3 linked regions of the Arabidopsis thaliana genome follow. The protein of the gene in region 3 purifies or fractionates together with the protein of the main gene of each other region. This does not show direct contact. Each region holds a gene or a part of one and is shown on either strand. Other genes may lie near its edges.

Region 1 (7,007 bases), on a different chromosome or scaffold from region 3:
AGGTGTTTATCTTTGAGCATTCTTTACATTTTTACTAAGCAGTTTCTCCTCAGAGGTTGAGATTATTTATACTTGTAATGCAGCCGCACTGTTTGCCAGAGGATTGAAGCTGAAGGTGCAGTATGGTTTCTTATTAATCTTCTGAAGCAGCCAGAGATCTCACTAAACGTTACAGAACACGTATGACTTCATTTTCTTCTTCCTTTGTTCTTTGATATCTTTGTCTAGGCTATTATGGAATAACTGGACGTGAAATGGTATTTTGTGAACTATGTTATGCAGGTTCTGGATATAATTGCTCATATCTTAGATCCTAGCAAGGAAATGGAATCCAAGGTGTGTTTATTTTCCAAGGTTGATTATTATACATTAAATCTGCTTTCATTTGGCTTATGCTATTTCTCTACATGCTACAGTTTTATGAAGGACCGGTGAACGGATCAAAAGCAGACTCCAGGTCAGTCTTCTTCTCGATCTTCCTATCTTCAGCTCATTCATTCTTTTTGTTTTTTTAGAAGTATTAATTACTCAAAACATCGGATGGGAATGAACAGAAAGGAAGTTCTGGACGCTGCTGTTTTTTCTCGGCTCGTCCAGATTGCGAAAACAGCCTCTCCGAACCTGCTAAGAAACGCAATCTCTGTCATCGAGTTTGGTATAATCAGTAATCCAAACATGGACACGATCATCTCCAAGGATATCACAACTGTTCTTGATCTTGCTCTCCGGCAGAAAGTCCTGGAAGGTACAAAACTTATCTTTTGATATAACTCTGTTTGAATTTTATAACAGCATACAATACTTTTTATGGAAATGCAGAACCTGAGAATGAAGCTGAGGAGTTAGAGAAACATCTGCTTAAGCTAGAAGAAGCTGGTTTGACGATTTCCGCTGCTTCAAGGCTACTGACAAAACTTCTTGACTCCGAGTCCTTTCGCCAAACAATAGATACCGCGGTCTTCATAGAATTAGTAAGGAAGATCCTAAGATCAAGCCTCCCTCTACACTACAAAGACTGGGTTGCCGCTTGTCTTGTCAAACTCACCGCTCTCTCCTCTCCCTCTCAATCCCTCAACAATCCGATCAATCTTGAGGTAACTCTGTACAAAACGATCCCGAGCCTCGTGGAACAAATGAGCTTTTCCTCATCACCAGAAACGAAAGAAGCAGCGGTTTTAGAACTGAACAAGATAGTCTCCGAGGGAGTTCCAGAATCTATCCAAACACTTGCTTCACAAGGAGGTATCGAACCGCTGGTTAAGCTTCTTGAAGAAAGGAACGAGCGGTGCGTTGAAGCGAGTTTGTCAGTATTGTACAACTTAACCATGGACAGTGAGAACCACACAGCCATCATAAGAGCAGGAGCTGTACCAGTATTGAGACGTATCGTTATGTCTCAACGACCACAATGGGAGAAAGCTCTTCGGTTACTCAGAAATTTACCCGTTTAAGACATTTTTACAGATTATTGTCATGTAAAATTTTGGAATCAATTAGAATAATATAATGTATGATTTGTCATGTGAGACGAATATACGAAAAGTTAATTACATTAAGATAATCGGATTACGTAGCACGTATATTACTATTACCATATTCTAGAGATTACACATGATCAATCAAATATTTAATCTTTGAAATGTTACGCAAGCAAAAATGAATTTAAAATCTGAAAATACAATCCAACGGCTGAGATTTTCTTACTGTGTCAGTGAAAACGAGAGAAACGTTCTAGTTCACTCACTTGGTTACACGTGTCTTGGGATCGTTTAGCTTTTAAGCAAGCTTCTCTTTTGCGTAATTTATTTAAGAGCTGCTTGCTTTTATCATCATCACTCTCTCTGCGTCCAAATTTTGATCTTTGTTCTTCTCAAAGCGAATATGGTTTTCAAGGTTTCTACCGTATCCACATCTCCTATTGATGGCCAGAAACCAGGAACTTCTGGTCTTCGTAAGAAGGTTCGTTGATCGATCCTTGTCTTCTGAATCAAACGAAATCGAATTGTTGCATCTGGATCAGATCTGTTTAGATTTTCTTGAGTGTGATTTTGAAGTGAGATTGACCATCTGATTAGATTTGATCTATGCATTAATCTATATTGATTAGTGAATGATGACAAATTTTAAATTTCGTTTTCGTTATTTTATTTGGATCAAGTTCGAGATCACGTTTATTATATTTGATTTGAGTATATGTTTGGGACGCTTCTATGTGGTGAATGTTGATTTGATAGAGCTTGAAATTACGTTTTTTGAGTTGGTGTAGCGAAATGGAGACTATATGGATTGAATTTGTGTATAATTGAAACTAGGGAAGAGCCTAGTTGTTATTGTCAGATCTTCGTTTAACGTATATACGATCTGCAATGACGTTTATTGAGACTCACTGATCAGATCTGTTTCAGATATTTTGATAAAAGAAATTTGGGTTGATCATTTTATCCAATCAATCGAGTGTCGATTGTTTGTTCTACTCTCTGCAGATATCAAACTAGCATCTTTTTGTATCTCTGATTAGTATTTTTTTTTTTTTTTCTAACTGTGTAGGTGAAAGTGTTCAAGCAACCCAATTATCTAGAGAATTTTGTCCAAGCAACATTCAATGCTCTTACGGCGGAGAAAGTTAAAGGTGAGATTTTTTTCATACTCATCTTAGCTTCTCAGAGATATCTGCTCATTCGAAAAATTCATGAGTGTTTATTGTTCATATGTGCAGGTGCCACACTTGTGGTCTCTGGTGATGGTCGTTATTACTCAAAGGATGCTGTTCAGGTAAGGCCGATGATATTCCCTGTCTTCTGGATCTGTGTGAATGTAATTGGCGTATCCATAGAATTATGAATTAGTGCTCATGTATTTACAATGTTTTGGAGGGAACTCCTGTGTTAGGAAGGCCTGCTATTATCATCAATGCCTTGCTTATTTTTCTTTGTGTTCATCTCTAAAATTTGCATCGAAACCTCTATAGAGAGATTAGAGGTTTATAGAAGTTAAAGTTTTGTTTGACTTTGAAATCTCTGAAACTTAAGTTTGTTTGATCTACTCCTATTACAAATCCGGTTCATACTGTTACAGATGAAGATGTTTTACTGCTTTTCATACAATTTTATTTTGTATCTTAACAGATCATAATTAAGATGGCAGCAGCTAATGGTGTACGACGTGTGTGGGTTGGTAAAAACACTCTGTTATCAACTCCTGCTGTATCAGCTGTGATTCGTGAAAGATCAGGGGCTGATGTGAGATTTCTTTCTCTATGCTCATGGTTGTAGTGACATTTTGTTTTTTGTTTTTTTTGGTTATTTGCTATGTTTGTGCATGACGCAAAATGTAATGATGGTTTTGAGTTACTTAACCCCAGTCTCCGATTACAGGGATCGAAAGCAACTGGAGCATTTATCTTAACAGCAAGCCACAATCCTGGTGGCCCTACTGAGGTCCGTTCTGTTCTTGTTCCATCTCTACTGTGCTATCCTTTCATTTGAACTATTCGTTTTGTATCTCTTTATTTGTTCTTTTTTTAATAATAAGATATCTAGATGGATAATAAGACTAAGAGGTGATTCCATACCCCTTGTACAGGATTTTGGAATCAAATACAATATGGAAAATGGAGGACCTGCTCCTGAATCAATCACTGATAAAATTTACGAGAACACTAAGACAATCAAGGAGTACCCAATAGCACAAGATCTACCCAATGTATTCTTAAGAATCCTCTTATAGATTTCCATCATCTGTCTTTTGTTGAATCATAGTTGATCTGGTCTATCTGATGAATGCGACAGGTTGATATTTCTGCTGTTGGTGTAACCAGTTTTGAAGGACCTGAAGGAAAATTTGATGTTGAAGTTTTTGATCCCGCAGATGACTACGTTAAATTAATGAAGTGAGTGGTCCCTCAATTTAAAAGCATGATTCTGGAATCTGCTCCCTCTATGGTCTATGTGCAATTTTTATGATCTTTCTAAAGAAAAATTCTCGCTCCTTCAAGGTCAATCTTCGATTTTGAAGCCATCCGGAAATTGCTATCATCTCCAAAGTTTACATTCTGGTATGTAACTAACATTGGTTCCCAAACCTTTTCCATTTGAGTTAAGTTTTGTAATATATGTTCCATCACTGTAATGTTATATTTTACTTTGTTTTATGAAGCTATGATGCATTGCATGGAGTTGCTGGAGCCTATGCACATCGCATCTTTGTCGAAGAACTCGGTGCGCAAGAAAGCGCATTATTGAACTGCACTCCCAAGGTCTTATTTTTGTCTAACCAAGAAACGCTATTCCATAAATGATTACAAATACACCTCCAGGCTCAATATTTACCACAATACAACGATTTGCAGGAGGACTTTGGAGGAGGGCATCCGGATCCCAATTTGACCTATGCTAAGGAGCTTGTGGCACGAATGGGATTAGGTAAATCCGACACTGGAGGTGAACCTCCAGAGTTTGGCGCCGCTGCTGATGGTGATGCAGACCGTAACATGATCCTTGGTAAAAGGTAGCTTACTGACGTTTTCAAGAGAGATACATCCATGGAACTAGTATACCAAGTACTTTTAAACTTAAAGTATCTCTTCATTTGTAGGTTCTTTGTAACTCCTTCGGATTCAGTTGCCATAATTGCTGCAAATGCTATTGGTGCCATCCCGTACTTCAGCTCTGGTTTGAAAGGTGTTGCAAGGTATTATACACCTGGGCTCTTTTTTTACTTCTAGTAGAATTCTGTGTATACAACTCTTTTAATATATCTTTTTTGTGGATTATTTTGTAACTTCCACTTCTTGTTTTAGGAGCATGCCAACCTCAGCTGCTCTTGATGTCGTTGCAAAAAGCTTGAATTTGAAGTTCTTTGAGGTACATGTCACCGTGCAACTTCTATCCAGCTTCTTTTCTCCTAACTACATAATTTAATTTCATATCTCTATTAAATCACATATCAGGTTCCAACAGGCTGGAAGTTTTTTGGTAATCTGATGGATGCTGGGATGTGTTCTGTTTGTGGAGAAGAAAGTTTTGGAACTGGTCAGTTTCTATTTCCACACTCACACATCTGTTCATAACTTTAAAACAACCTATACAGTTCTGAAAGAAAGATCTTTCACAGGCTCGGATCATATCCGTGAGAAAGACGGAATATGGGCAGTTCTTGCATGGATGTCTATACTTGCTCACAAGAACAAGGGAAATATTGACGGTAACGCTAAACTGGTGTCAGTTGAAGACATTGTCCGCCAGCATTGGGCTACCTACGGTCGTCACTATTACACTCGTTACGACTATGAGGTAAAAGTTGCTAAGTTTGGTGATTGTAATTATACCATATTATATGGAAGAAACAGTACCCTTACTGACATCTCAAAATTTGTCTCTAAAGAATGTAGACGCAGGTAAAGCTAAGGAACTGATGGAGCATTTGGTCAAATTGCAATCTTCAATTCCTGAAGTTAACAAGTACACACACTTCCACTTCTCTGAAATCCCTTCCTTTTATACTTGAACACGTACTCATCAGTTTGGTACTCTGTTTTTCTAACCTCTTCTTCTCTCTTGATTTTATTCAGGATTGTGAAAGGAATTCGTTCGGACGTGGCAAGCGTCGCCAGTGCTGATGAATTCGAGTACAAAGATCCAGTTGATGGATCCATTTCGAAGCACCAGGGAATCCGTTACTTGTTTGAAGACGGATCACGACTTGTAAGTCATCTTTTTCTTCGGTATTTGAGCTTGGATACATTCCAGCTAAGAACAAAGTGATAGAAATCAAAACTAACTAATCCTCTCTTGTTATATCTGAAACCATATGAAGGTTTTCCGTCTCTCTGGAACTGGCTCAGAAGGAGCAACCATCCGGCTTTACATCGAACAGTACGAAAAGGATGCTTCAAAAACCGGCCGAGAATCCCAGGAAGCTTTGTCTCCTCTGGTCAGTTGCTTACTATAAAACCTCAAATCCATAAACTGTTTTCCGACTCATTACCATTTAGCTAATACCAAAGGGGTTTTCTCTAATCAAATACGTAATTGTTGATGTGTGATTCACAGGTTGACTTAGCTCTAAAGCTGTCGAAGATGGAAGAGTTCACAGGCCGATCAGCCCCCACCGTCATAACATAAGAAGGGTCAAGCTCAACGACTCAAACCATTCACCTTTTCGTCTATATGATGTTTTCTTCTTATACTATCCAAGTTACATTATAAGAATAATTAGTCTCAGGGAGAATTTGTATTTCTCATCAGAATTCTGAACAACCAAGACTGATTTCTTGAGTTGTTGTGAGGCTTATACTTGTACGGATTTGGCTTTCTCAGTTTTGTTCTCTCTTGTTTCCGTATTTTGGCGAGTATACTCTCTTAACATCTAAGTTCATTGATACCTCAAAGCATGCTACGACCATCCATTGACAAATCTCAGAGTTGTCTAATTACTTCAAATGGGTACTCATGAAAATGCACCCTCTCGTGTTTTGGTTTGATGTTGCATGGTTTTCAATGCATGATACCATAATATATGGACGAAAGCCATTTTTTATTACTTCTCTTTTGAAAAGTGGGAGAGACGTCGAACTTGAAAACGAAAGAGAATAAATGGAAGATTCAATATATGTATGTGTTGCTTTCGAAACGAATATAGAGAATTGGAACAAGGAAACCCAAAGATTTGGTTAGAGTCGTACACAACCCTAATTCTCCCACCGGACCTTCCATATCTAGAACGAAGCTTCATTCAACTTTCTACTCCACTTAAACCACACTATCCTTTATTTCGTGTAAGTATATCTTTCTTATACTCGATTTCTTTCTCTTTTGAGTTTTAGTATCAAATATTTGTATCATTGACCTATCAGTATATTTCAAATCCAAATTCAGACATAATGAGTTCTGTCAAGTATCAATAACATGTGACTAATTGAGTGGTCGTATAAATCATATTCATATACATAATATATGAACGTGAGAAAAAAAAGAATTTGATTATATAATCGTGCAATATATTTTGTT
Region 2 (7,062 bases), on a different chromosome or scaffold from region 3:
AGGCAAAAACGAGTTTGTGAACGAGGCTAAGTTGTTGGCTAAAGTTCAGCATCGCAATGTTGTTAATCTTTGGGGTTATTGTACACATGGAGATGATAAGCTCTTGGTTTATGAGTATGTCGTTAATGAGAGCCTCGACAAGGTCCTCTTCAGTAAGTTTTTCTTCTCAATGAGATTGGTTTGTATATTAGGATAAATGATATTGAAAGAAGATGGTTTTAACATGTAGTGGTTGCTTCATTTGAATGCAGAATCCAACAGAAAATCGGAGATAGATTGGAAGCAGAGGTTTGAGATCATAACAGGCATTGCTCGAGGACTGCTCTATCTACATGAAGACGCGCCAAACTGCATCATCCACAGGGATATTAAGGCTGGCAATATTTTGCTGGATGAAAAATGGGTTCCTAAGATTGCAGATTTTGGGATGGCTAGACTCTATCAGGAAGATGTAACACATGTCAACACTCGTGTTGCAGGAACCAAGTATGCTCTCTCTATTGTTTACCCTTAAAAAGCTCATTTACATATCTTCTTGTGTCATTTGAACTCTTTTTGTTTGTTGGTGTTTCATGGTAGAATGTTATTTAACGTCCATTGCTTCTTCTTTTCTTATGCGCAGTGGTTATATGGCGCCAGAGTACGTAATGCACGGGGTTCTATCGGTAAAGGCAGACGTATTCAGCTTTGGGGTTTTGGTTCTGGAGCTCGTAAGTGGACAGAAGAACTCGAGTTTTAGCATGAGACACCCTGACCAGACTCTTCTTGAATGGGTAAAGCCTCTAGTCTCATGCTCCATTGTTTATAGGGTTGTTGTGTGATGGCCTGACCCAGCCAATATTCTTCAGCGTAATATAACCAATGCTAAATTCTTTCTGAATGTGACACAGGCATTTAAGTTGTACAAGAAAGGCCGGACCATGGAGATACTAGACCAAGATATAGCAGCTTCAGCTGATCCAGATCAAGTCAAACTCTGTGTACAGATCGGACTACTCTGCGTTCAAGGCGATCCGCATCAAAGACCGAGCATGAGACGGGTATCTCTACTTCTCTCTAGAAAACCAGGACATCTAGAAGAACCGGATCATCCTGGTGTCCCGGGATCTAGATACCGTCGGCGAACACAACGTCCTTCAGGAGCAGCATCACTTGGAACATTGTCGACCACTGGTTCCAGCACAGATTCTTTCGGTTCAAACCTGAACACAAACACGGGAACTGGTGTTAGAGGTACCCCCGCATCTTCTAAAGCTTCAACTCGGAGTAATGCCACTAGAAGTGCTGGTCAGAGCTCTAGCTCAGACCCTCACGGGAAACGACATATGAGTTATTGAAGTACATAAAATCTGGTCATAGGTGATTGTAAATAGCGAGCTGCATATATAATATTTGTTTCATAATTTATTTAATTTTGCTTTTGAAAAGTAAATTAATTTATTTTTTTGACTGCAGTAGTGATTTAGTTTTGTAGTATGATTTGTTATATTAGCGGGAAAAAATTATGATTCATTTGTTACATTTGTATATTAGAATAATCACTTGTAGTCCCATTATCTAGGTCCCCACTATTGGCCTCGTACGTATAAAAGCATATTCTCTTGTACGTATTAACGGTACCTTACTTTAAACAAAACATAAAACTAAAATGTTTTTTATGCGTTTTAAATTATTTTTCAGTTAAAATTTATAAAAAGGGTTTTTGTAAACAATTATTTTGATAGTAAAAGAAATACTAACTGAAATTAGTGGAGAAAATACACAAACATATATTTAACTTTCTTTAATTTAAAATATACAGATTTTGTTTCTTTAATTTTTTTTTTCAAATTTTAGTTTTCATTTATTTTTAAATAAAGTATGACATGTCATAATGTTGTATTTTGATTTGTCATTAAAAAGGGGGTGAATCAAATTGGTTCACTCTAGAGGTGAACTTCGCCAAAGAATCACAGACCGTCAGTGTTAATCATCAGAGACATCAACGTAATGTTCCTCTTGGTTACTTCTTGCTTTAATGTTCCTCTTGGTTACTTCTTGCTTTCTACCTGATTCAGGTTCTTCAGTTAAAGTTTCTCTTTTCATTTTTGGGGTAATGCCCGGTTGGGCCTCGTTGTTTTATTTAGGTTCTAGTTCTAGGGCCTGCGTGTCCTTTTAGGCAGTTATTGCCATGTATGTTCTTTGGGCCATTCGTGCCTCTGTCGGCTTGTTGGGCCTTGTAATCGTTTCGGCTCTATTGGAAATTAAAAATAAAATATATATACTAACCCGTTTTGGGTAAAAAGTTAGGTCCACTAAAAGACGAAAAGAGATCCTACCAAAAAAAAAAACGAAAAGAGACGAGCCACACGCGTCACCTTCTCGTTTAGCCTCTTCATCTCCTTTCCTCAGACTCACTGTGTAAAAAGGCTTTTATTTTATCATCTTCAGGCTTATTCGATTTTCTTCAGATTTGAAATGGTGTCGTTCAAGGTCTCTCTCGTCTCTACTTCGCCTATTGATGGCCAGAAACCTGGGACTTCTGGACTCCGTAAGAAGGTTCGTTCGCTTTCGCTTCTTCTCCTTGTTATATCAATCCCCGCGTTCTTATTTCGAAATTGGATTAGAGATTTGAATTCTAAATTCAGATCTTCGCAACGAAATTGATTTCTTCATTTAGTTCCGATCTTATGGATTGAATGAATTTTGTGTGTTGGTTTTAACAATTTGATCCGATCCGATGAGATTTGAATTTACGCATTGTTTCGTAATTTTACAGGTGAAAGTGTTTAAGCAACCAAATTACCTTGAAAATTTTGTCCAGGCAACGTTCAATGCTCTTACTACAGAGAAAGTTAAAGGTAAAGATCTCTCTTACCTCTCTTTGATTGTTGTTCAGGTAAAGGTCGATGATTGCAAATTCCATCTAAGAAAGAGTATTTGTTAACTTTTTCAGGTGCGACACTTGTGGTTTCTGGTGATGGTCGTTATTATTCAGAGCAAGCTATTCAGGTAAAAGCTTTATATGTCCTTTGAATGATGGCAAACTGCGTTTTGCATTAACTTATAATTCTTAGACACTTTACTCTTATTTTAGTTGTTTTGAATCTTTTATTTCATAAAAAAGATAGTTCGTCAATACCACTTTATTTCCTATCTGGACAGATTATAGTAAAGATGGCAGCAGCTAATGGTGTTAGACGTGTGTGGGTTGGTCAAAACAGTCTGCTATCAACTCCTGCAGTATCAGCTATTATTCGTGAAAGAGTAGGGGCTGATGTGAGATATCTTCCTCTAAACTCATACTACTTACTTTTCTCTTGGGTTGTTATCTAAGGCTATGCATGTTTGCAACATGTAATGACGTGATGAGAAACTAACCCGAGATCCAATTTCAGGGATCTAAAGCCACAGGAGCATTTATCTTAACAGCAAGTCATAATCCTGGTGGCCCAACTGAGGTCAGTTCTCTTTTTGTTCTCACTCTTTTGTGCTTGTTCATTCGATACCCTCACTTAGTATTATTTGAATCCTAGCATCAGTTTTGTTAAACTATATGTTCATCTCTCTGCTTCCATATGCTGATTTCCTGCTATTCTATTCACAGGATTTCGGAATTAAGTACAATATGGAAAATGGTGGACCAGCTCCTGAATCAATCACTGATAAGATTTACGAGAACACAAAGACAATCAAGGAGTACCCAATAGCGGAAGATCTACCCAGGGTACCTAACATTTCTGATCTTATTACCTGTCATCATCTTTTTTTCATCTTGTATTTGTACTAATCATGTTTTTTTGCTGGTCTTTTTGATTGAATGCAACAGGTTGATATTTCTACTATTGGTATAACCAGCTTTGAAGGACCTGAAGGAAAGTTTGACGTCGAAGTTTTTGATTCTGCAGATGACTATGTTAAACTAATGAAGTAAGTCTTTCCATCTTTGTATCTGAGAGAACAGTTCTTGAATCTACTCCCTCTATGGTCTATGCATTTAAGAGAATGGTTCCAGAATCTGCGGTATCGATGATCTAAAAGATTTGTTCGTCTCTTCAGGTCAATCTTCGACTTTGAATCCATCAAGAAATTGCTATCTTATCCAAAATTTACTTTCTGGTATATAGTTCATCAACATCCATAAATCTTTTCTTTTGAGTTTGTTTGCTTGTATAGGCTCCATCATGTCTTTGATATTTTATTTCCCATCGTTCTATGAAGCTATGATGCATTGCATGGAGTGGCTGGAGCATATGCACATCGCATCTTTGTCGAAGAACTAGGTGCACCAGAAAGTTCGTTGTTGAACTGCGTACCCAAGGTATCATTTTTTTCTTCTTTCTTATTTTGTATAACCAAGAAATATCATTTCCTGAAAGGATTATAAATACACGTTGAACAGTGTCTTTTATGATTTATAACAACACGACAATCGGACAATGTACAGGAGGACTTTGGAGGGGGCCACCCGGATCCCAATCTTACCTATGCTAAGGAGCTCGTGGCACGCATGGGATTGAGTAAAACTGATGATGCTGGTGGCGAGCCTCCAGAGTTTGGCGCCGCTGCTGATGGTGATGCAGACCGAAACATGATCCTCGGTAAAAGGTAGCAGAGACTAATTCTCTTTTAAGTGAGATCACAGAGATGTGGAGCGGATATACCACTCTCCCCGTTAACCAAAAATATCTCTTCTCCGCAGGTTTTTCGTAACTCCTTCGGATTCAGTTGCTATAATTGCTGCAAATGCTGTTGGGGCCATACCATACTTCAGCTCTGGTTTAAAAGGTGTTGCTAGGTATGCATCCCGGTTCTTCTTTGTTTACTCCAGTTCATAGATTGAAAACGCTGGACTTTGGTGTCATACGTTTTTGTTTATTATAGATAGTAACAATCTTTTCTCATTAAATTCTCAACTTTCACATTCGTATTGCAGGAGCATGCCGACCTCAGCTGCACTTGATGTCGTTGCAAAAAACTTGGGTTTGAAGTTCTTTGAGGTAGATGTCATTGTGAAGCTTTTCTCTAGCTTCTATTCATTGCAATCACGTAACATAGTCTATTGCTCTAATACTTCTATATTTTAGGTTCCAACAGGCTGGAAATTCTTTGGCAATCTAATGGATGCTGGGATGTGCTCTGTATGCGGAGAAGAAAGTTTTGGAACCGGTGAGCTTCTATTGCTAGATCTTCACATGTTTTAAAACCGTAACAACCCTACACAACTCACAAAGAAGCTTTTCGACAGGTTCGGATCATATCCGTGAGAAAGATGGGATCTGGGCAGTTCTTGCTTGGCTATCAATACTGGCTCACAAGAACAAGGAAACCCTTGATGGGAATGCAAAACTGGTGACGGTTGAAGACATTGTCCGCCAGCACTGGGCTACATATGGCCGTCACTATTACACTCGATACGACTATGAGGTAAAACTGACAAATGTCATTATTGGTTGTAGACAATATGTAGAATAACCAATTACCTTTGACCAATTTCTAAATATTTGCTCCATAGAACGTAGACGCAACTGCAGCTAAAGAACTCATGGGACTTTTGGTTAAGTTGCAATCTTCACTTCCCGAAGTCAACAAGTATCTCTCTCTCCACTTAATTTCAAATCCATTCCTTTTTACTTGTATGACTTTCAGACTCACGTTTTTGGATAATTGGTCAGGATTATAAAGGGAATTCATCCAGAGGTGGCAAATGTTGCAAGCGCAGATGAGTTCGAGTACAAAGATCCAGTAGATGGCTCTGTTTCAAAGCACCAAGGGATCCGATACTTATTCGAGGATGGATCACGACTTGTAAGTCGATATGTGTGAAATGGATTCATAACAATTCAACAACCTGTGAAATTGTAAAAGCTAATCCGGGCTTGTTTCTCTTGTTCATGAAGGTGTTCCGTCTCTCGGGAACTGGCTCAGAAGGAGCAACAATAAGGCTATACATTGAACAATACGAGAAGGACGCCTCAAAGATCGGCCGAGATTCTCAGGATGCTCTTGGTCCCCTGGTCAGATTCCCAGATACCTTAATTACTCCCAAATTTACGCATAATCGATCTTTGTCATGTTTATTAACACCAATTGTTGGTGTCTGATTTTCACAGGTTGATGTTGCATTAAAGCTGTCGAAAATGCAAGAGTTCACCGGCCGATCATCACCAACTGTTATTACATAAGACAGCTTTCAGAAGACGCTGTCTCCAATACTACTCTCATTCCAACTTCATTTCTTATGAATTTGGGTTTTGCTTTTTTCCTGTTATCTGTTATCTTACACAAGTATACTTCAATACATATAATTTTAATGGAATATACATTAGGTTGGCAATTGAATTTCTAGCTTTGTTTGGCTCCTCCAAATAAAAAAGAATTGCCACAATATTGGAGCATGTGTGGCAGATGGAGACGTAGCAAGAGTAAAAAGCGAATCCAACAATAACTGATACCTAAAACCTACGGTGTACAACTATAGATAATGGACCCGAGAGGTGGTGATGACAAGCCAGAAGACAGATGTTTATAATTTGTCTCTTGAGCTTGACCAACAAAAACATTCTGACAGTTAAAAGCTAATGTTGGGCATGAATTTCGTGAATCAGATTGTGCCATGTGTTAGTTTGTATAAGTGAGTCAGGGTTCACGGGTTCTTTCTTATTTGGTTTTTAAATCCAAAAGAAAGAGAGGCATCATTACCATCCAAACACTCCTCCCACTTTAGGCTTTCTTCCTCTGTCCTTTCTCCATATTTGTTGTCTTCTACTAAACTTTTGTCTCAACAATGACTGATGCTTTAGCTAACCATCAACATTGTAACATACAGTTGATGGTTAGCTATTTGCTATACATTTGTCTATTTCTCTTGCTTCTATAGTCAAAGTATAGAGTTAGCTCGTATAAAAAGATCAGCATTTAAGTATAAAAAAAATTAGAATGATTTTATGTATAGTATTGTCTAACTTTAGGTGAAATCACAACTGATTATAGAATCCTCGAAGAAAAATATTAAAAAATCAAAAGGCTTAATATTAGCATTTTCTTATGCAGAAATGCTTAATTAATCAAAATAAGTCTTTT
Region 3 (5,288 bases):
AGAAGAAGGAATTGGATAAAGAGAATAATGATCCTCTACTGGTATATATACATACTCTACAAATCATTCACTCTCTAAGTAGACGGTTTTGAGATTATAGTTCTAGAAACAAAGAAAAATGTTTTGTGCTCCATTGATTTTGTGTTTTGAACATTTCTCAATCTATAGGCGGAGCGTCGAGTGCTGGACTTCAACGATTGCGAGTCTCCAATCAAAGCAACAGAAGAAGTCTCATCCTACCTCTTGAAGGGATGTAGGTAAAATGCCAAAAGCTTATACATAATATGCAAAATGCACCATACATGAACAATGTATAAATATGTATGTGCATCTTTTATGAATTATCCCTGGCTGGATCAATTTTTTTTCTCTGTTTCTTTTTAATGGATCAATTGGAGTGAATTTATGTAGATTCTGTGTTCAATATATATATACATATTTCATTTGCCTGCAATGAGTACACGTCCGTATACTCTGTGAAACGAACCAACTGCAGTAACTTATTCTTGTTCTCTGCTAGTTTAATCTAAATAGTTTCTGCAATTCCGTCATATGCTAAAACCTCAGATTCTACATGAACTGTATTCAAGTTCACCAGCTTAAATCTCAAATGTTTTCTCTTAAACATTTGACTCTATAAGAAACCAAAAAAGAGTTGTAAGCAATAGTAGAAGAGAGAGCACAAAAGCTTTCTTGCGTACTTTATTGATACTGGGATGAAACAATAATAATAGTAACGACATTTATCTTGTCACTGCCGGAAATGCTATAATAGAAAGAAAAGAACAAAATCTTTATTATGAAGCTTTGGTGTCATGGTGGTGTTCAGTTTCTCAGACGGCTTTGGTGACAACAGCATGGATAGCGTCTGCAAGGTGAGGTACAGTCTTCGAACTCAGACCAGCCATGCTTATCCTCCTTTGGTTCATTTATATCAATCATCACACACTAAGTTAGACAAAATTCAAGAAAATTAATAGATGAAGAAGAGAGGCAGGCGCTTACCCGTCAGATGTCATGTAGATGTGGTACTCTTTAGTCATGAAGGAGACTTGAGCTGGGTTTAACCCTGTGAAGGTAAACATACCAATCTGCTTTATGATGTGACTCCAGTCTCCAGGAGTGCCTGTCACAGTGATTTTGAATTTCATTTCATTAGCTATGTCCATTTACATTCCTTATACAAATCAATAAGACCTTACTTACCTCGAGTACGTAATGCCTCGAAAAGCTGTTTCCTCATGCTGATGATACGATCAGCCATGGCCTTCAGTTCCAGAGTCCATTCGTTGAACAAATTCTTGTCACGGAGGATTACAGCCACGATTGATGCACCATGGATTGGAGGACTCGAGTACATTGGCCTTATCACTAGTTTCAGTTGGCTTTCAACTCTCCCCGCAACATCTGCTGATTTGCATACCTACAACAACTTCTTTTATGTCAGAAAGAATTTCTTACGCGTTTCTTAAATAGATTTCTTGCAATGCAACAGGTTCTTACAATGCTGAGAGCTCCAACTCGTTCTCCATAGAGTCCCATGTTCTTCGCATAACTTTGAGCAACGAGGCATTCTCCGCCATCAGCAACAAACATCCTAATAGGTTTCGCATCTGTATCAAGACTTCCACTTGCAAAGCCCTGCGATACAAAAAGAGAGACAAGTATTAACCATTGATTCAGAAGGAAAATGGTTTAAATATCAGCTGATCTTACACAAAAGGATTCATCAGGTGTACCTGATAAGCACTATCGAAGAAGGGCATCAATCCCTTTGATCGCATCAACTTCCTGATTTGCTCCCATTGTTGAATGGTTGGATCAACACCAGTAGGGTTATGGGCACAGGCATGGAGAAGCACTATAGAACCAGGTGCGGCAGCACCAAGGTCTTCTAATAAACCTGTGAACAAAAGAAGAAAAAAAGTTGACGTAAACGAATTCAGAAAGATATATAAGCATATCAACAATAGCAAGCAAAGAACTCAGTAGTCTCACCTTGAAAGTTCAACCCACGCGTCGCTGGATCGTAGTATCGGTAAGTTTTCACTGTCAAACCAGCGAGCGTGAAAATCTTTGGATGATTTCCCCATGTTGGCTGAGTGATGTAAATTGTTTTCTGAAAAGCAAAGGAAAAGACTCCAAATTTCTATGAGAAGTTCTATAGGATGAAGAAATTCAATCAGATAGGAAATTAGGCTTAAGCATCAACCTGATGATAATGTTTAGCCAAAAACTCTCCTCCAACTCTCAGAGAACCAGTACCAGACAAACACTCCACGGTGGTAATCCGATTCTCCCGAATAGCAGGACTAAACCATACATGAGAACACCAATCATAAAGAATTGTCTAAAGAAAAAACAAAGTGATGAAAACATAAAGAATAAACAGAGAATGCATACCTGTCAGCGCCTAGTATGAGCTTAGCGCTTAACTTGTTGAACTCAACCAATCCAACAATGGGAAGATACTCCTTGATTCTTGTTCTACAGATTAACACACAAAACAAGATTCAACATCATCAAGCACACACACACACATAAAGGGTAGAAACCAAAAGAAAGAGAGGTAAACCTGTCATTGATAAGCTGCTGCTCAGCTTTCCTCACAACATTAAGAACCAAAGGTTTTCCCTCCTGTAACCCATCAATAAACAACCAATCCTTTTCAGTTGCAACAACAAAAATAATAAATCAAAGAACAGAGACACATCTTCATTGTAACATTACCTCAGTTCGGTAAGCACCAACTCCTAAATTCAGCTTAACTGGGCTAGGATCTTTGTTGTATGCAACTGTCACCTATTCATTTTTTTGTGAAAAACAAATATCAGAATCACTGACATAACCACACTAATCATCATAATTCATCTCAGAGCTGAAAATTTGGTGAAAAAAAAATGAATTACTAATCAAACGAACCAAATTCAGAAGCATAAACATCAAATCTTATCCCATTTCATAAAACATCATGTCATTTTATCGAGAGATCGTGAATTCCCACCAATCAATAACGGATCCAATGCGTATGATACACATATCCAAAAGTATCGTCCAATATGTTTGAGAATGATATAGACACACAAAACATAATCGAAGAAGAAGAAGGTACCCCAAGAATAGGATCCTCTGGAGCTTGAACAAGATGAGAGAAAACAGAACCACCGGTGCCTCCCGATGTCGGAGATGCATAAAGAGAGCTCAGGTTGTCCGAATCTGAGCCGGAATTGAGATGACGGAGCAGAGCACCGATCCTGCGATCGGAAGAAGAAGAGGAAGAGAAATGAGTAGTTTTCATTTTTGTTTTTGCTTCGTGTGTGTTTGTTTACGAATGAAGAAATAGTTGAATACGAAGATCTCTTTCTTTATATCAATTTGGTCTTCTAATTTATTTTTGGCTATCCAAATTTGCCACGTAAGCTTGGCATAAAGTTGCGTGCCTGAAGCATCATCATCATCATCATCATCAAGATATTAAAAAGTCTTTGTAAGATTATCCATGAAAAAGCCGGGAAAACAGGGAATTAAAATACTCCAAAAATAGGGTTTATATTCGCATTTTAATTGTTGAAAATCTAACATAAATTTTACATTTTTTACACTACCAATAATGTTATATAGAGAAAAACTCTTTGATTGTTTGGGAGATTTTACAATGCTCATTGTTTAGCTGCTAGTATTTTTTTTTGGTTAAATGTGAAATTATTTATTTATCTGTTATTAATAAAAAATAACAAACAACCAAAATGCTAGAGATTATTAATATGATCAACGTATAGTTGTTTTTGATTTTGTCAACGACCTTTGTTGAAGAGGATGAATATGTGATTTAATACTTAGTGTAACATGAAATATATTAAATATCTGATTGATGATGGTTACTTGTGGTTACGAACTTACGATGATAGAAGTTTGTTTGGTCTAGTCCCCATATCAAGCTTATGTTGATTATTCTAGTTTATTAGTATAATTTAATCTTTATTTTAAATTACTTTTATATGATTTACAATTTTGGATAATGGATCATTTTAGTCTCTTTTTTTTTTTTTTCACTGAAAGATATATTTTATATTCAAGATTGTAACCAAATATACAAAAAGTTAGGATCAAGGACAATCATTCTAGATCAACCACGTTGAATATTACACTAAGCAATACTTCTTTCTTTCTCAAAAAGATGTTTCAGCCAAAAAGGAAATCCGCTTGCTACATACGATTGGCGGCGATCCTCCATTGTCACGCTCTTGGCAATAAGATGAGCTCCAAGATTAGAGCTTCTTACTTCACCACACAATTTCCAATCCAAGATCATTTTAGTCCAAAACCAGATTATTGCTGAAAAGCAAAGCATTCGATTAATTTAAAAATCCGGCAAATTATAATCTTCATATTTTTTCGTTGATACGAGGACGTTCTCCTATCTTCTCCAAGAAAGAAATTTGTATCCTCGAAAGTACTTACTCAGTTACTTGACTTATCAGGTGTTGATGGTTCGAGGGCTGGTTTACTGATCCACGGCCAGGTTAAGTTAACCCATCAAAATTGTAACACGTCCTGGGTTGATATGCGAAATCCACTTTTTATCGTCTAAATGTTTTTGTACGTCCTTCCTATCCCATAGTGGGGGTGGTTGGTTGGGTCCGGCAAATGGATTCTGACCCGATATAAGAATAGAGAACCAATTACTTGGATCGTCGATGGCTTCGTTGAGCTTGGGATTTGTTGTAAAAACTGGTTGCTGTGAAGAGATTATTCAAGACGCCAATTATGTCTCATATACCTTTGTTTTTTAGTGGCCGGTTTCTGATGAGTTTTGGGATGCTTTGCTTTATAACTGATACTTTAATGGATAAAATAAGTTAATTTAATGTTTCTACAGAATAAATGGTTGGTCCATATATGTTTTTGAGAGGGGTAGACAAAATTTTAATTTGAGTTCGACCATGGAGAAGAAATTAATTATTTGCATGTTGTTTTTGTTGCAGTGGAATTTATGGAATATTCTGAAACCGCAAAAAAGTTGAAATGAATCAATAATTCTATTTGATAGATAGTTTAGTGTATTTAGATATATACAATAGAATTTCTTAACTTTGTATTTTATATTGCAACTCAGTAACGATGTAGTTTTAAACTTTTGTCATATTTTAGTTTTCGACCGAAGAGATTATATGGATCGTTACGTTAGATTTGACACTCTTTTGATCATAAGAAAAACGAAACCATAAATGCTGAAAATGATACCAGAAAACTTAATTGCTTACACGACAAATGAAACTGTTGGAATT

The links. Proteins that work in one complex are often made in the same cells at the same time.
Region 1: the proteins of ASP3 (region 3) and PGM3 fractionate together in Arabidopsis thaliana (co-fractionation; one large-scale study listed by BioGRID). This does not show direct contact.
Region 2: the proteins of ASP3 (region 3) and PGM2 fractionate together in Arabidopsis thaliana (co-fractionation; one large-scale study listed by BioGRID). This does not show direct contact.

What each region holds. Positions count from the first base shown.
Region 1 is NC_003070.9:8,218,065-8,225,071, forward strand, and holds PGM3 (Phosphoglucomutase/phosphomannomutase family protein), read left to right. Parts: upstream 1-1,743; 5' UTR 1,744-1,881; coding exon 1,882-1,959; intron 1,960-2,547; coding exon 2,548-2,629; intron 2,630-2,716; coding exon 2,717-2,772; intron 2,773-3,125; coding exon 3,126-3,239; intron 3,240-3,374; coding exon 3,375-3,437; intron 3,438-3,582; coding exon 3,583-3,702; intron 3,703-3,788; coding exon 3,789-3,889; intron 3,890-3,994; coding exon 3,995-4,054; intron 4,055-4,155; coding exon 4,156-4,255; intron 4,256-4,348; coding exon 4,349-4,506; intron 4,507-4,593; coding exon 4,594-4,689; intron 4,690-4,798; coding exon 4,799-4,862; intron 4,863-4,948; coding exon 4,949-5,030; intron 5,031-5,112; coding exon 5,113-5,291; intron 5,292-5,382; coding exon 5,383-5,459; intron 5,460-5,569; coding exon 5,570-5,702; intron 5,703-5,814; coding exon 5,815-5,931; intron 5,932-6,050; coding exon 6,051-6,122; 3' UTR 6,123-6,483; downstream 6,484-7,007. Other genes in the region: AT1G23180 (ARM repeat superfamily protein), read left to right, coding at 1-2, 84-180, 283-336, 417-457, 555-745, 820-1,451. UniProt on the Arabidopsis thaliana protein: Catalyzes the reversible isomerization of alpha-D-glucose 1-phosphate to alpha-D-glucose 6-phosphate. The mechanism proceeds via the intermediate compound alpha-D-glucose 1,6-bisphosphate.
Region 2 is NC_003070.9:26,668,122-26,675,183, reverse strand, and holds PGM2 (Phosphoglucomutase/phosphomannomutase family protein), read left to right. Parts: upstream 1-2,017; coding exon 2,018-2,092; intron 2,093-2,301; coding exon 2,302-2,538; intron 2,539-2,758; coding exon 2,759-2,840; intron 2,841-2,935; coding exon 2,936-2,991; intron 2,992-3,144; coding exon 3,145-3,258; intron 3,259-3,377; coding exon 3,378-3,440; intron 3,441-3,586; coding exon 3,587-3,706; intron 3,707-3,808; coding exon 3,809-3,909; intron 3,910-4,038; coding exon 4,039-4,098; intron 4,099-4,200; coding exon 4,201-4,300; intron 4,301-4,426; coding exon 4,427-4,587; intron 4,588-4,681; coding exon 4,682-4,777; intron 4,778-4,915; coding exon 4,916-4,979; intron 4,980-5,066; coding exon 5,067-5,148; intron 5,149-5,227; coding exon 5,228-5,406; intron 5,407-5,494; coding exon 5,495-5,571; intron 5,572-5,654; coding exon 5,655-5,787; intron 5,788-5,879; coding exon 5,880-5,996; intron 5,997-6,092; coding exon 6,093-6,164; 3' UTR 6,165-6,538; downstream 6,539-7,062. Other genes in the region: AT1G70740 (Protein kinase superfamily protein), read left to right, coding at 1-152, 252-486, 623-809, 891-1,337. UniProt on the Arabidopsis thaliana protein: Catalyzes the reversible isomerization of alpha-D-glucose 1-phosphate to alpha-D-glucose 6-phosphate. The mechanism proceeds via the intermediate compound alpha-D-glucose 1,6-bisphosphate.
Region 3 is NC_003076.8:3,684,424-3,689,711, forward strand, and holds ASP3 (aspartate aminotransferase 3), read right to left. Parts: upstream 3,432-5,288; 5' UTR 3,299-3,431; coding exon 3,113-3,298; intron 2,803-3,112; coding exon 2,731-2,802; intron 2,638-2,730; coding exon 2,576-2,637; intron 2,488-2,575; coding exon 2,404-2,487; intron 2,313-2,403; coding exon 2,213-2,312; intron 2,120-2,212; coding exon 1,999-2,119; intron 1,904-1,998; coding exon 1,740-1,903; intron 1,642-1,739; coding exon 1,504-1,641; intron 1,424-1,503; coding exon 1,207-1,423; intron 1,127-1,206; coding exon 1,006-1,126; intron 919-1,005; coding exon 834-918; 3' UTR 523-833; downstream 1-522. Other genes in the region: MYB3R-4 (myb domain protein 3r-4), read left to right, coding at 1-41, 169-261. UniProt on the Arabidopsis thaliana protein: Amino acid aminotransferase important for the metabolism of amino acids and Krebs-cycle related organic acids. No activity with D-Asp or D-Ala as amino donors. In plants, it is involved in nitrogen metabolism and in aspects of carbon and energy metabolism.